2 linked regions of the Callithrix jacchus genome follow. The protein of the gene in region 1 interacts with the protein of each later gene in a biochemical or structural test. Links are inferred from orthologs where the notes say so. Each region holds a gene or a part of one and is shown in the gene's direction. Other genes may lie near its edges.

Region 1 (3,805 bases):
GAGCATCATCCCGTGAGGACTGGGGCTTAGTGGCACAGTAGCTTTGATTTCCAGCTGAGTGCAAGGGTGTGATAGTACTTGTTTTTTTGTTTAAGATGGAGTCTCACTCTGTCACCCAGCCTTGAGTGCAGTGGCACGATCTTGGCTCACTGCAACCTCTGCCTCCTAAGTCCCAGTGATTCTCCTGCCTCAGCCTTCCGAGTAGCTGAGACTACAGGTGCCTGCCACCACTCCTGGCTAATTTTTTGTATTTTTAGTCGAGACGGGGTTTCACCATGTTAACCAGGATGGTCTCAATCTCCTAACCTCATGATCCACCCGCCTCAGCTTTCCCAAAGTGCTGGGATTATAGGTGTGAGCCACTGCGCCCAGCCTGGTTTTTTTGTTGTTGTTGTTTTTGTTTTGTTTTCAAAGACAGGGTCTTGCTCTGTCACCCAGGCTAGGTGCAGTGGTGCCATCATAGCTCACTGCAGCCTGGAACTCCTAGACTCAAAGGTTCCTCCTGCTAGTTACCTTGAGTAACTAGGACTATAGGCATGCACCACCATCCCCAGCTAACTTTTTAAAAAAATGTTTGAGATGGGATCTCTTTACATTGCCCAGGCTGGTCTCCAACTCCTCGGTTCAAGTGATCCTCCTGCCTTATCCTCTCAAAGCACTGAGATTATAGATATTAGCCACTGTGCCTGGCCTGTGATAGCACTTTTGACTAACCTTTTTTGTCTGGAGCAGAAAAGATGACTTTAAGAATAAATATTATCTTCTGAAAACTGGCCTGATGGCCTCATTGAGTCTTGGTTAGAAGCCTGTGTTGGGGACAGTGGGCCTTTGTCTTCTGGGTTCGGTTCATGTTGAGAGTCTGGTTTGCTTTGTCCAGGTGTCCGCCCAGGAGGTCAGGAAGGAGAATCCCCTCCAGTTCAAGTTCCGGGCCAAGTTCTACCCTGAAGATGTGGCTGAGGAGCTCATCCAGGACATCACCCAGAAACTTTTCTTCCTCCAAGTGAAGGAAGGGATCCTTAGCGACGAGATCTACTGCCCCCCCGAGACTGCCGTGCTCCTGGGGTCCTATGCTGTGCAGGCCAAGTTTGGGGACTACAACAAAGATGTGCACAAGTCTGGGTACCTCAGCTCTGAGCGGCTGATCCCTCAAAGGTGAGCACAGGGTGACCTGGCCTGGGCAGGAGCCGTCATGCCATCCGCTGCAGGGAGAAGTGATTGCATTAGAAGCAGTTTAAAAACAAAAGGACAGGGTCATGTGCTCCTTCATGCTGGGACTCTACTCATTAAGGCACTGACCCGACCTGAAGCATAGCCAGGGAAGGCGAGCTACCATTCCTCATGGAAACTAAAGAGCCGCCATATCCTGTGGGGATGCAGCAGCATAGCAAACTTGTCAACCTGACTGCTTAGCTCCTCCTGGGTGTGATAGGTTGACCCCTATGAAGTCTGCTTTTATTTACTAATGGTCACAAAAATTGCCCCATTTGGAAGAAGAGGCCGCTTAAAATACCTTCTTAGTTTTTCCAGCAGAAATGAGTTCTTATTCAAAATGCTAAGTCTTCCAAGTTAATCATCATAAATAGAAATGCTACACATCAGGAAATAGAAACCAAAGCTCTTTAGGGTTGATTGATTGAATGGAAAGTAAGAATTTGACTGTGGTTGGTAAGTGGGCCTCCTTCCTTGCCTGTCACAGCCCTTAAGGATGACAGTGCTGTTTCCTTTTGCAATCCAGAGTCATGGACCAGCACAAACTTACCAGGGACCAGTGGGAAGACCGGATCCAGGTGTGGCATGCAGAACACCGTGGGATGCTCAAGTGAGTGCTGGGTGTTGCTCTGGGGATCTGGCCATCTCCGTGCTCTCCAGCTTGTCTTTTCCTGTGACTCGATAGTGTTTTAAAGGGCTCTGTGTCAGGCCTGAGCTCCAGCCTTAGTGCCCTGTGAAGATCATGGCGGGAACTGAGCTAAACATGGGGCTTTTCTCAGGGGAGATATTTGTTTTTGTTTTTTTTTAAAGCCAGGTGTCTTGCTCAGGGAAGCAGTTTAGCTCAAGCCTTCAGGTTCTAAAAGCTTATACCTTCCCTTTGGAGGATGTGTTATCTCTAAACTTCATTTTAGTCAGAGGGGCATTGTTCACCTGCAATAAGCATTATTTTTTTCTCTCTCTGTCAAAGAGGTGCTGGTTTGCTCATTGTTTGAAGGTAGTTGTCTTACAAAGTATATATAAATGAAAAAGGATCCCAAGTGAGAAATCCTGATATCGGAGAACCTGGGCATGAGGAGAGGGACTTGGGGCTATTAATGTAAGATGTGGCTGGATCCCCGATTCTGGGTGTTCTCATCCTAGAGCCTCACCTCTGGCCTAGTCTTGCAACTCTGCATTATTTCAGCCTCTGAAGTTTGTGGTTTGCGCCTCAGATTTTGTGCTTCAGGGTTTCCTGCCTGGCCCAAGCATCCTTTATGGGAGGAAAATAACTCACGGCCTATGAGGAGGGTGGTGGGAGCCCCAGAAGACATGTGGACAAGAGAAAGGGAGGATTGTGCAGAGCAAAAAAACTTAAAAACCTGTCAGAGAAGCCAGTGTGAATCAGTTCTTCCTGAACGTGTGGGGTTTGGTAGTCAGGGTCCAGGGCAGCACAGAGTCTACCCCAGGCAGAGCTTCCGGGCCGCAGGGGTCCCCCACTCACTGCTCTGCTGCCCGGGCCCTGCCTGTCTGCACGCAGCACACAGCTTTGAGCCCATCCTACACAGGGTGCCTTAATTTAAAAATACTGGAAAGGTTTGACAGTTCTGGATCTTGAGGGCTACTAATGACTGCCTGTTTCACCCTCCCCAATCAGAGATAATGCTATGTTGGAATACCTGAAGATTGCTCAGGACCTGGAAATGTATGGAATCAACTATTTTGAGATAAAAAACAAGAAAGGAACAGACCTTTGGCTTGGAGTTGATGCCCTTGGACTGAATATTTATGAAAAAGATGATAAGTGAGTTAACGTTTATCTTCAGTAGGTGGGGTGGTGGGCCTGGGAACAATGGCAAAATGGCAATTTTGTGGGTTATTTTTGAAGTATTTAGCAACTTACTATCCCAAAGTAGGAATCTTTAAGGGCTTTTGGACTGCTGTGGCCCTCTCAGAGGGTGGTCCAGAGGCATGGTTTATCCTGTCTCATGGTGGGTGGGGCCAATAGTGGGCTCAGGCCTGGGAGAGGAAGGCAGAATAGAACAGAGGCTGCCTCTCCTCCTCCTGCCTTTGAGGTCCCCCCCCGCCTAGCACCTACATGCAGGTACCAGCACATCCATCGTAACTACTTCCCAGGTTCCGGACTCCTGGCTAGAGGTTTATGCTAATCCAACCAGGTATATTTATGGTGTGATGAGAGACTTGAAGTGTTGTCTACACATACAGGCTGTTGTTTACACTTGAGCTAAATGCCGGGAGTCTGCAGGAGATACCTGAATTGCCTTGCATTAGTTAAATTTGTTGAGAGATTTGTGAGCAAGCTGGGTAGAGCAGCAGAGCCCAGCCTCTCCGCAGGGGACAGACAGTCCTCTTTCAGATACAGTGCATTTGCCACCTTTCTGCTGAGGATAAACGGGAAAATCATCCTAGTTCATGAGGGCAAGTTTCCCCCTAGTGAGTCCCTGACATCAGCATAGGCCCTAGCTTCTAGACTGATCTGATCAGAAGCTATCTGAATTTAAGAGGCCCAAGGAAACTACCTCTGGAAAGAGAAGGGAGAGGTTCCTGACTGCCTCCTGACTCCTGTCTCTGCCCTGATTGTCCAGTCAGCCTGATTGCT
Region 2 (4,518 bases), on another chromosome or scaffold:
ATACTTCGGACTTGGATTTAGTTGCCCTCTCAACACCAGGTGGGAGATGGAATGTCAGGAAGGCAGAGCAATAGAGGAGGGACCTCGTTAGGAAGGCAGGGGTGCTCCATATGACAGAGGAGGTGCTGTGACCTCAAGGTCTGGGGAATGTGGGTGAATACAGGGCCCCATCAAGGCCCTCAACAAGGTCCCTCTCTGGAGCTCAGATGTGAGGCCCAGGAGGCAGATCCCCTCATTGGTGCCTACCCTTGGAATGAAGTGACCAGCTGCCTGGAGGGGTGAGCAAGGGGGCAATGGGATGGAGTAAAGTCCAGTTACAAATAGAATTCTGGAAGGCAGGGTGAGGTGGCTCAGGCATGTAATCCCTTTGGAGGCCAAGGCAGGTGGATCCCTTGAGGTTAGGAGTTCAAGAACAGCCTGGCCAACATGGTGAAATCCCATCTCTACCAAAAAGTGCAAAAATTAGCCGTGCATAGTGGTGCACACCTGTAGTCCCAGCTACTCGGGAGGCCGAGGCAGGAGAATCGCTTGAACCTGGGAGGCAGAGGCTGTAGTGAGCCAACATCCCACCACTGCACTCCAGCCTGGGTGACAGAGTGAGACCCTGTCTCAAAACAAAACAAAAACCAAGGAGAATCCTGGAACGACAGTGGCTCAGGGACTCAGCTGTCCCCAAAACATGTGCCTCCTCTCTTTGTGCAGGGGATGGGGGTCCCCAAGATCTTCAAGATAGGGAGGTGTCCCCAAGATCTTCAAAGGTGGCCAGGCGAGGTGGCTCAAGCCTGTAATCCCAACACTTTTTGGGGTCAAGATGGGAGGATCAGCCGTGCACAGTGGCTCATGCCTGTAATCCCAGAACCTTGGGAGGCCAAGGCGGGCAGATCATTTGAGGTCAGGAGTTCGACACCAGTCTGGCCAACATGGTGAAACCCTGTCTTTACTTAAAAAAAAAAAAAAAAAAAAATAGCTAGGTGTGGTGGTGCATGCCTGTAATCCCAGCTACTCAGGAGGCTGAGGCAGGGGAATCACTTGAACCAGGAGGTGAAGGCTGCAGTGAGCCACGGTTGCACCACTGCACTCCAGCCTGGGCAACAGAGGAAACTCTGTCTCAAAAAAAAAAAAAGAAAAATGGGAGGATCGCTTGAGGCCAGGAGTTCAAGACCAGTCGGGCCAAAACTGCAATAGCCTGTTTCTGGGTGTTTTTTTTTGTTTTTGTTTTTTGATGTTGCCTCAAAATCCCGCCTTATCGCCTAAACAATGGTGCTGGCAGGTTTCCCCACTAATTTCCTCTCTGGGGACCACATTTTCCCCTCCCCACCTAAGTTCAACCGGAAGGAGGTGTCTCATCCCCCTCCTACCCCAGGCTCCCCAGTGCTGAGAACATAGGAAGCCAGTTTACTTAGCATTTCCTGTGAATTGAACTGGGGCCAAAAATGCAACTGAGGCCAGCCCTGTCCCTGGGAGAGACAGCAGTGCTGGCCACTTTGCTGGGCCCTGTCTGGGTCCCCCACCCTAGCCTTCCAGGCCAAGCATCCCCTTCTAACCAAAGGCCTGGGCAAGGTGCAGCCCCCAGACTTCTGCAATCTTAACCGCTGTGCTGTGTGCTTCCTCTTGCGGTGGGAGCGCCCCCCCCCCCCCCCCCCGTCTGCCCTTCAGCACAAGAAGGCACCTTCCTCTGTCAGAATGGCCACCATGATACCTGCCGTGTCGTGGCTCCGGGCCTGCTGGACTCTGCTGGTCTGCTGTCTGCTGACCCCAGGTGAGGCCAGTCAAGCCAGGGAGGGCTGGGGAGGGCTGGGGAGGGCTGGGTTTTGGGATCAGTAGAGGGTGAAGAAAGAGAAAGCAATCCTCTTCGCATCCTGCCACACTGTGCCCTGGCTGCTGGCCCTGTATCTTCAGGGGAAAGTTCTGGTTCCTTAGTTCAGCCTTCAGGTGGTCAGGCCCCAGCATGCGGCTTGTACGACACCCCTCTCCCCCAACACACACACACACCCCCCACACTTCCTGCTCCATCTGAACTCCAGACATTTGCCCTTTGCGTATGTGGTTCCCTCTGCCAGGATCACCCTTTCCTTTCACTTGCTAACTCCTACTTAGCCTTCAGTTTCAGGCTGGCATGGTCCCCCTCCTCCAGGAAGCCTTCCTTGACTCACCTCTTCCTATGCCGGATCAGAGCCTCTTCTGACCTCCTTCTGAGTTCTCCCTGGTCCCTGATGGATCCTGCCTTTCCCCATGGACCATGAGGGCAGGAACCCTTCTTTCTCAGCTCAAGGAAAGTGGTGTTAAATGGTGGGACCTGCTGGTGCTAGGGTTGTGGGGCAAGGAAACCACCACCAGGACTTCTTCGTGTTCCTGAAGGTGTCCAGGGGCAGGAGTTCCTGTTGCGGGTGGAGCCCCAGAATCCAGTGCTTCCTGCTGGAGGTTCCCTGTTGGTGAACTGCAGTACTGACTGTCCCAGTGCTGAGCAGGTCACCTTGGAGACATCCCTGTCAAAGGAGCTGGTGGACAACGGCACGGGCTGGGCAGCCCACCGGGTCAGCAACGTGACTGGCAACAGCCGGATCCTCTGCTCAGGGTACTGCAATGGTTCGCAGATAATAGGCTCCACTGGCATCACCGTCTACAGTGAGTCAATGTGTCCAGAGGTGGGACGGTTCTCTGGCAGTGGTGCGGGCAGGAGGCCAATGGCTCGGGAGAGTAGGGGCCCTTAGTGTGCAAAGAATGGACTAGGGCTCTGACCCAGAGCTCAGACCTGGATATTTGTGTGTGGGATACAAAGACAGAGAGAAGGCTGGGTGTGGTGGCTCATGCCTGTAATCCCAGCACTTTGGGAGGCTGAGACGGGTGTATCACGAGGTTATGAGTTCAAGAACAACATGGCCAAGATGGTAAAACCCCATCTCTACTAAAAATACAAAAAAATTAGCCGGGCATGGTGACAGGCGCCTGTAATCTAATCTACTTGGGAGGATGAGGCAGAGAATCACTTGAACCCGGAAGGCAAAGGTTGCAGTGAGCCAAGATCCTGCCACTGCCCTCCAGCCTGGGCAACAGAGCAAGACTCCATCTCAGACAAACAAACAACAAAAAAAACAAAGAGAGAGACACACAGAGACGCAGAGACACATTCAATCTCATGCCAAGGCAGCAGTTGTGAAATCAATCAACTTCTGCCCCAACAAGTTTTTTCTTTTTTTTTTTTTTTGAGATGGAGTTTGGCTCTTTTTGCCCAGGTTGGAGTGCAGTGGGGCGATCTCAGCTCACTGCAACCTCCACCTCCTGGGTTCAAGTGATTCTCCTACCTCAGCCTCCCATGTAGCTGGGATTACAGGTGCACTCCCCCACACCCGGCTAATTTTGTATTTTTAGTAGAGATGGGGTTTCACCATATTGGCCAGGCTAGTCCTGAACTCCTGACCTCAGGTGGTCCACCTGACTCAGCCTCCCAACGTGCTGGGATTACAGGCATAAGCCACATTGCCCAGCATCCCAACAAGCATTTTTCAGTATGTGCTGGCCAGGTGCAGTAGCTCATGCCTATAATCCCAACATTTTGGGAGGCCAAGGTGGGAGCACTGCTTGAGCCCAGGAATTTTTTTTTTTTTTTTTTTTTTTGAGACAGAGTTTCGCTCTTGTTACCGAGGCTGGAGTGCAATGGCGCGATCTCGGCTCACCGCAACCTCCGCCTCCTGGGTTCAGGCAATTCTCCTGCCTCAGCCTCCTGAGTAGCTGGGATTACAGGCACGCGCCACCATGCCCAGCTAATTTTTTGTATTTTTAGTAGAGACGGGGTTTCACCATGTTGACCAGGATGGTCTTGATCTCTTGACCTCGTGATCCACCCGCCTTGGCCTCGCAAAGTGCTGGGATTACAGGTTTGAGCCACTGCGCCCGGCCTGAGCCCAGGAATTTAAGACCAGCCTGAGCAACACAGGGACACCCTGTCTCTACAGAAATAAATTTTAAAAAATTAGCTGGGCATGGTGCACATGCCTGAAGTCCCAGCTACTTCGGAGGCCAAGGTGGGAGGATTGCTTGAGCCCAGGAGTTTGAGGCTACAGTGAGATATGATTAGACCACTGTGCTCCAGTCTGCACGAAAAAGCAAGACCCTGTCTCTTAAGCCAAAAAAGGGGGTACCCCTCTCAGCCAGTAGGTGAATGGAGGTTTTTACATTTATGCTTTTTACACTTTTAGAGACAGGATCTCCTATATTGCCTAAGTTGGTCTGAAACTCATGGGCTCAGGCAGTCCTCCCACTTCAATCTCTCCAGTAGCTGGGATTACAGGCTTGAGCCACTGTCCCTGGCTATTTATTTATTTATTTTTGGAGATGGAGTCTCACTCTGTTGCCCAGGCAGGGGTGCACTGGCATGATCTTGGCTCACTGCAAGCTCCACCTCCCAAGTTCAAGAGATTCTCCTGCCTCAGCCTGCTCAGTAGCTGGGACTATGGGTGTGCATCACCCTGCCCAGCTAATTTTTGTATTTTTAGTAGAGACAAGGTTTCACCATGTTGC

What was found.
Region 2: the proteins of EZR (region 1) and ICAM3 form a complex in vitro, tested with the Homo sapiens proteins (2 studies listed by BioGRID). The link is inferred for Callithrix jacchus from reciprocal best matches to the Homo sapiens genes EZR and ICAM3.

The regions. Positions count from the first base shown.
Region 1 is NC_133505.1:165,593,146-165,596,950, reverse strand, and holds part of EZR (ezrin), read left to right. Parts: intron 1-877; coding exon 878-1,152; intron 1,153-1,735; coding exon 1,736-1,819; intron 1,820-2,842; coding exon 2,843-2,989; intron 2,990-3,805. UniProt on the Homo sapiens protein: Probably involved in connections of major cytoskeletal structures to the plasma membrane. In epithelial cells, required for the formation of microvilli and membrane ruffles on the apical pole. Along with PLEKHG6, required for normal macropinocytosis.
Region 2 is NC_133523.1:9,530,026-9,534,543, reverse strand, and holds the start of ICAM3 (intercellular adhesion molecule 3), read left to right. Parts: upstream 1-1,673; 5' UTR 1,674-1,683; coding exon 1,684-1,759; intron 1,760-2,358; coding exon 2,359-2,625; intron 2,626-4,518. UniProt on the Homo sapiens protein: ICAM proteins are ligands for the leukocyte adhesion protein LFA-1 (integrin alpha-L/beta-2). ICAM3 is also a ligand for integrin alpha-D/beta-2. In association with integrin alpha-L/beta-2, contributes to apoptotic neutrophil phagocytosis by macrophages.